Linked DNA regions of Stegostoma tigrinum. The protein of the gene in region 1 interacts with the protein of each later gene in a pairwise test. Links are inferred from orthologs where the notes say so. Each region holds a gene or a part of one and is shown on either strand. Other genes may lie near its edges.

Region 1 (3,921 bases):
TCCGAGCTGGGTCAATCTTGGCAGTGCTGCCACTGCTGAAGCTCCCAGGTTTCCAAACGGGGCTCAAACTCCAAGTTGGGCACAGCACACTAAAGTGGCCAGTGCCTCATTCTAGCTTATGTTGCTGCCGCTTGTGGGAGTTTTCTGAGTGCAAATTGATTGCAATGTTTCCTAAATTACAGAAGTGACAGTACTTCATAGGTACTTAATGGGCTTCAAATTGCTTTGTGATATCAGGAAGTCTCAAAAATTGCCTTATAAATACAAGTCTTTTATTTCACAATAGTCAGATTTTTTCTCCTTATGAGTCTTAATTGATCCAAATCACAATCCTACAGGCAAAATGGATTGTGGATTATTTTGAAGTTTCATAATTTATTTTATGAATCCAAGATCTTTGAATACATTTATGTAAAAGCAAAATCCATCTGGTAAGGAACAAAAACTTACATTAATATTATAGCTTAGTAAAATTTCCTAAGATATTTCACCAGGTTGTACTAAGAAAACTAAATGGAGGTGACCAAGAGGAGATGCTTTTGAAGATGGAGAAAAGGTAGCAAGGCAGTTTAGAGATGCTATATATAATTGCAGACATCAAACAATAAGTTTATTTAGAATCACAGAACATGTCCACCAAAGATGACCATCTGTATCATCTTATTATTGCCAACGCACACAATTTTACTCAAAATTAGAATCTTACTCGTCCTCAAATAATTATTCAATCTTCTCTCAAAACACTTATCCACTAACGGTATTTTCCATTTTCCGGGAAGAATCCTAAACACTTCTTGGACAGCACTGTGATGCAACTAAGCTTTTGAAATAAAAAAAACTGACACAGGACTGTACATTTTCTAACGCAATAACACTTCATCATTTAACTTTAACTCAGTCTTACATGTTTCAACTTTAAAAACCTAACACGAAGCAATTTTTTAAAAAAGGCGAAAATATAAATGAGATTTTCCACCTTGTTTATTTTTAGTTCCGTTTTTGACTTATTAGAATTCTGTGCATAATTTCCTGCACGAACACACACACACAACTATACCCCCGTGCCCTCCTCTTCCTCTGCCCAACCCCTTTCCCGGTACGATAGCAAACGAATGAGAAGGTCTAGCAGTTGGAGTACGAGCTTGGACTCCGCCCCTCCTGAAAGCGTCAGGCATGAGGAAGCGGCGATGCTGTTAGGTTGCCTCTGCCGGTAGTTGCCGCTAACCAGCTCGTAGAGAGTAACGTGGGCAGCGGAGCCAAAACAACAAAAAAAAGAACAAGGAAGGGAAGGAGGAAAAGTGTGCAGCATGGCGGCGGGTGTGCGCTCTGTGTGTATTGTGCTGCTGTGTCTGAGCGGGGAGGTTCTGACAGGGTAAGTGAGAGGGAGAGATCTCCAGCTCAGGTTCCTGCAGCTCTTCCTATCTACCTTCACTTCACTGAATGAATATCATGGGTATTAACGCGTTAGAGTGACCCCCCGGTGTGATCATCGGGTGGGAACTTGTTCAGTTTTTTAACAAACAAAATTTTGCCAAGTGCGTTGTTCATCAGTCACTGAAAGGGCTGTAAGGTCTTATTTCAGTTGTGTGTATTTTCTTCATATCTCGTGTTTTTTTTTTGTTTGTGTCTGAGGACAGCCGGGATTTCTACAAGATTCTGGGGGTATCTAAAAGCGCCTCGGTGAAGGATATCAAGAAGGCTTATCGCAAACTGGCACTGCAGTTGCACCCCGACAGAAACCCCGACGATCCGGCAGCGCAGGCTAAGTTCCAGGATTTGGGGGCTGCTTATGAGGTACTGAGTAGGGGCAATGTAGGCTGAGTGTGTGTGCAATACCAGTGTAATGGTATGAGGGAGGGTTACCCGTCAGGTACATTTCGGCCTTTCCTTGTGAAGTCTCAGTCACTTCTTTTTACTTCTGAGTTATAGTGATGACAAATCTGGGAGACTGTGTGGCTTCAGCTCATTGGCTATTGGTGAAGGGGTGAGAGGTCACACTATAATCCAAGCCTGCTGGAGCAGCTGCTGTAAGATTCTCAATTTACATATTGTTTCAGTTACACATTTGCAGATCTCGTACACTTTTTAGTTTAACGTCTTTAAAACTGCATGTCCTGAAACAATACGACTATCAGTGTTTCTCCTAATAATACTTATTGTCTATTTTATACGCATGTCGTGTTTATGAATGGTAGGACACTTGTAGTGCATTTAATAGTTGAGGGCCTCCAAGTATGTTTAACTGACTAAAGCTATTTATGAAGCTTAAGCTTTTGTGCAAAGATTGTTCACTGACCTTCTGCCTAAATCTTAACACCCTCGGAGCAACAATTTATGTGAACTTCTTCCAAATTTCAGGAAGAAAGGCCTACCGTGATCACAGAATATCCCAATATTCTTTAAACAAATGAAGTTCTGTATTCCTTGATCTTGTTGGGGCCTCTTCTATAGTCTGGAAACTGAACATCACTTAGGTAACTTCTGCTAACAGTCCTCTGCTTTTGTCTGAAGATGTAATCTTGAACTCCCAATTTCTTGCTACTTCAGTTCTTTCTCCAAGTTTAACATCTATCTTTAGCTTTCTGTTTTTTTAATTAAGCTCATGAACTGTCTTTCTAAAATAATGGAATGGTTATAGCATAGAAAGAGGTCATTTGGTCTGTCATGTCAGCTGGCCTTCCAAAGGAGCACTTCATCTAGAGCCACTACTGTCTTTTTCGTGTAGTGCTGTAACATTTTCTTTTCTGGATAATGATCTAATTCCCTCCTGACAGTCAAAATTCACCCTACTTTTGCCACTCTCGGGCAGTGCATACCAGATCCTAACCTGTGTGAATGTTTCTCCTTGTGTTGCTATTGTTTCTTTTGCCAAATATCTTAAATCTGTTTTGTCTGGTTCTTGATCATTGCATTGTTGTTTTGTCCCTATCTGAACTCTGAAATTTTGGATAACTGTATTAATCTCCTCTTCAAGGAGGAAGACCTTCAGTCTGCCTTGTGTAACGGAAGTTTCTCATCCCTGGAGGCATTTTTTCTGCATCCCCTCTAATCTCTTCACTGGAAAATATGGTGCCCAGAAATAGATGTAATAGTCCAGATGAGGCTGAGCCAGTATTTGTAGAGGTTTAATAAAATTTATTGCTTGTTGACTTTACGACCATTAATGAAACCTAGGATGTCCCATCCTTTATTCGTTGTTCACTTGATGTGCCTTGCCATGTTAGGAATTTTCTTACATATTGACTTGGTCCCTCTGCTCCTGGTCTCTTTTTCAAAATTTGCATCTTTTACTTTGTATTGTTTCTCTGCTGCCTTCATGCTAAATTAATCATTTCACCCACTTCTGCATTATATTTCTCCTTTCTGACCATTTCACTATGCATATGACTTTGCTATCCTACACCATCTGCTTCATTGTTCACAATGGTTCCAAGCTTTGTCACTTGCAAATTTGGAAGTTTTACCCTATACAGGTTAGTAATTTGTCAGGTACTGTCGGTGTCCTAACAAATTCTTGGGGAAGTCATTCTTAAGTGGTCATCCTGTCTGAAAACAAACATTCAGCTGTTGTTTCCTGTCACAGTCAATTCTGGACCCATGTAGCTACTGTCCCTTTCATTCCATGAGTTCTAACTTTGATCATGGGTTAATGTGTGGCACTTTAACAAATATATTTTGGAAGTTGATAGACGCTATAAAAACAGCATTATCTTCACCACTATGATACCACTCAAACTCCTATCAAGTTGGTTAAACATGATTTACCTTTAACAAATCCACATTGGATTTCCTTAATTAACCTGTATTTACTTAAGTGACTAATAATTTTATCCAGCATTATCACCTCAGTTTTACCAGCACAGATTAAATTGACTGGCATGGAGTTGCTGGACTAGGCAATTTTCAACCCTCTGGCTATTA
Region 2 (3,921 bases), on another chromosome or scaffold:
TCCAGAGAATAGTACAAAATGGAATGTACTGCCTGAGAGGCTAGTGAAGGCAGGTACTCTCAGAACATTTAAGGAACATCTGATAAGCATTTCTGATGAAGGGTCCTGACCTGAAACATCGACTTTCTCGTTCCTCTGATGCTGCCTGACCTGCTGCGTTCCTCCAGCTCCACACTATGTTGACTCTGACTCAAGCATTTGCAGCTCTTGTTGTCTCCAATGAGCACTTAGAATTTCAAGGAAATAGAAGCTATGACCAACTGCAGGGAAACGGGATTACTGTGGCTTGGTGTTCATTGGTTGGCATGGACAAAGTGAGCTGAATGGCTTTTTCTATGCTGTATGATTGTATGACTCTAAATGTAAATAGTGAATATCCAAGCTTTCTACCTCCAGGCTTCAGGAAACAACATCTGTCTCTCCTCTGGCAGGATGCGGGGATCCAGCTTGGATTATTTAGCACCTCAAGACCAACAATTCCAGAGTGAAAGAAAGGCATCCTTGTTCCTGAGGGACTGCTTAATTAAGACAGACAGTGGAAGGTGCACAATTACACTGCCACCCCCCACCACGCAGACAAAATTTGTGAATGAAACTAATTAGTATTTGCAGAAGCCCCAACGCCTGGTGGACATGATGCGTGAGCCAACTTTTAAGACAACCTCCATGAAGCTGGAGTCAGCTGTAACCTTAGAATAAATACAGAATGTTCTGGGACTGAGGTCTGAAAAGGAGCCATATAGGACTCGAAACATTATTACTGTTTCATTCTCCACAGATGCTGCCAGACCTGCTGAGTTTCTCCAGCAATTTGTGTTTTCAGTTCAGATATTCAGGATCCGCAGTATTTGGCTTTTGTCTTAATGTGTTTATAGATGGAAGGTTTGGCTGTTAAAAATGAAAGCAAGATTTTCAACATGTGCCAAATTACAAGCCTTTGCTGATAATTCAACTTTGGTTATTTACCACAAGAAGCAGCTTTCATTCTCGCTCCATCACCACTTCCTCTTCCCCAACTTTGGCAACTGCCATAAAGCATTGCTGGCCTCAGCTGGAAAACTGTCGCTAAGCGGTGGAGATGCGGGACGCTACGCTTGGCGGCAGTGAGGAAGATGGCGGACGAGAACCTGCGGGAGTTGAATGTCGGTGGAGATCCGGGGACCTGGGACGGCTCGGAGTCTGAGCTGGTGGTCCGGGTGAGTGCAGCCTAGGATGGGCCGTTGACACACGCACTGAGGGGCCGGGGGAAGTCTCGGTCTCACTCCCGCTTCTCCCTGGTGCTGCCATAAGGGCTCAGGGCTGTTTAACGGACCGGGGTCCCGAGCGTTGTCCGTCAAGCAAAGATCCGCCGCCTTCCTTTTTTGTTATTGTGTCGACACGGTCCCGTTTGTCCGAGTTTTGTTTACAAACCGCAAAAGCAAGCTGGGTTTAAACCAGTGTGGTCGTGTTGGTATTCCTGCCCCATTGAGTCTCGTGCCTGATCTCAGTTTGTCGGTGTGCCAGGTCGCATGTGAGCCCCGACCCAGTTTTTTGGTTTCCCGCCTGTCGTGTGCTCCTGACCCGTTGGCACGCTCTTATGCCTGCTCAGTTGGTGTGCCTGAGACCTGGTATGTTAGCATGCCAGTGCCCTGGCAAGTTGGCACACTGAGTCTGTTGTGTGCCCATGTCCTGGTTTGTTTGCATGCTTTTGTGCCTGGTCTAATTTTGATAGTTTATCCGGCCTCTTGTCAGTTAGTGTTTATCTGTGCCTCTGTATTAGTTTATTTCCCTTGTATTCATTAAGTTGTGGAGGAATTTCATTAAGAAAAGCTACGAATTTATAAAAATTTACGTCACTTAGAGCTTTCAAGTGACTTACTGTGAGTTGTTTTCTTATTTGAGTTACAAAATATCATATGCTTTGAAAGGGAATGGTACAACAGATACTTTTGCTTTCAATCTGTTAGATTTTAATAAAGAGTGTAATGTTCATGTTTGTTTTTTGTAAATTGGGCCTCATTCTATTAATTGTATAACAGTGAACGTTAATCAAGATTGCCCAAACACACACGCTTGTATCCAAAGTCACGTTGAGTTGCATTAAACTATCAGCCAATTGCTCATTGATTGATGTATATTGACTTTTGATTTGTTAATGCTTACCTGCATTTTAAAAAATCTTCCTTTTCCCCTGGTAATCTCCTCCAGCGCTCAAACTTTCAATTCTACCCTCTTTTAATCACTTCTTTGGTTATATTTCTGTCAAGGTCTTAAACTCTGGAATTCCCGCTTTAAGGATCTCCACATTGTTTTACTTCTCTCGCTCTCGCTCTCTCTTCTTTTATCCTTAAAGTCTTCCTATTTGACCAGGCTGTACATCTTTTGAAATGGCTTAGTGTCAAGATTCTGAAGAACGGTCTAGGCCTGAAACGTCAGCCTTCATGCTCCTCTGATGCTGCTTGGCCTGCTGTGTTCATCCAGCTGTTCACCTTGTTATCTCAGTGTCAAGTTTGATTATGCTTCTGTGAAGCCTCCAGAATCTTCTAACTGCATTAAAGATGCCATATAAGTGCAAGGTTTGTTCATTTATCTGTGAACTAAATCCTCGTAGTGCTATTGATGATTTAAAATTTATATTTAGAAGCAAGGGTGTGTAAGTGAAGTTGACCAGTTCCTGTGCTGGGAAGAAACTGGTGCAGCGATTCATCAAACATGATTAAGATTCTGTTGCACTTATAATTAAAACCAAAAACACAGGCTCTTTCAATCACATTGTGTATATGTTCTCTTATTGTACCAACTTTCCCTTTACTTTCACATTGTAGTCCACAAAATGCTTTTTAATATTACTGACTGAAGTTAGTTGATTTTTTTTATGTTTCCAGAGAAATGCAAGATTTCCAGATGATTTTGCTTCTCTCTTGCCCTACCACACAGGTGATGATGCCTATTATTCCCATGTTGCTTTGTTGTCAAAGCTCAGCTAATTTAGTCCGTTACGGGATTTGTTCTTGTTACTTTACCATTCAACAAGGCTCAGTTCCTTCTGGAATATCTGCATAAATAATTAAGTATTATGTTGTTTTGAAAAAAAAATTAAAACACCAATCCCTGTACACTTTAAAGACGTATTAAACTGTTCAAATTTTTTATGACATTACAAAGCTTTCAGTAACCTATACATCAAGTTGCTATAGTTCCCAGAGCACCATAGCTCATGACACTAAATAAAAAGGCAGCTGATGATGGTTTAACCTGAGGACCACCTTGCCTCGGACAAGAGGTGAGGTCAAGAAGATGGGACCTTCACGGTGACCGGAACCTGTGCAGGAATTGTACCCATGATGTTGGTGTCATTCAGCAATACCAAGGAACTACCTAGCTAAGTGAGCTAAGCGACCTTTGGGTAAAGTGTTTTTGAAAGCTCTATCTGCTCCACTCGAGGAGGCCAAATATGGTGAGGAATCTTTTAAAAGAATAACATGACACACAATGAAGCCCATCAAGAATTCTTATCTGATCTAGCAAGAGTGCAAAGCAATGGTTTTTGTGAGTTTGCTATGAATTTGACCTTTGGGTTGAATATGTTAGTTCTGTCCTATTATATCTTCTCTCTTTGCCACTTTTTTATAATAGGTAGTTAGCTGAAGCCAGTTAAAATTGGTTTGTATTATAGTGCCTCATTTCACACTGGTTTGGATCGCAAACTTTGTATTGCGATAGTTTTTGCTATGGATTGACTCTTGATACACTGGAGTTTGTTTTTAAGGATATTGTTCAGGTGACATCCATGGAGCTGTTTGTTTGAGCTATTGTTGCCTTTCTAAAGAGGATGTTGAAATATCAGGAGTAGGTTATATTGTGATTAACATGTGAGGGGATCTGTATCTTTTATTCACTCATGGGATAGGGGCTTTGACTTGCCTAGCATTAATTGCCTGC

What was found.
Region 2: the proteins of dnajb11 (region 1) and ubr1 interact in a two-hybrid assay, tested with the Homo sapiens proteins (2 studies listed by BioGRID and IntAct). The link is inferred for Stegostoma tigrinum from reciprocal best matches to the Homo sapiens genes DNAJB11 and UBR1.

Annotation. Positions count from the first base shown.
Region 1 is NC_081360.1:29,055,869-29,059,789, forward strand, and holds the start of dnajb11 (dnaJ homolog subfamily B member 11), read left to right. Parts: upstream 1-1,129; 5' UTR 1,130-1,307; coding exon 1,308-1,372; intron 1,373-1,637; coding exon 1,638-1,794; intron 1,795-3,921. UniProt on the Homo sapiens protein: As a co-chaperone for HSPA5 it is required for proper folding, trafficking or degradation of proteins.
Region 2 is NC_081363.1:86,524,426-86,528,346, forward strand, and holds the start of ubr1 (E3 ubiquitin-protein ligase UBR1), read left to right. Parts: upstream 1-1,063; 5' UTR 1,064-1,112; coding exon 1,113-1,196; intron 1,197-3,921. UniProt on the Homo sapiens protein: E3 ubiquitin-protein ligase which is a component of the N-end rule pathway. Recognizes and binds proteins bearing specific N-terminal residues that are destabilizing according to the N-end rule, leading to their ubiquitination and subsequent degradation.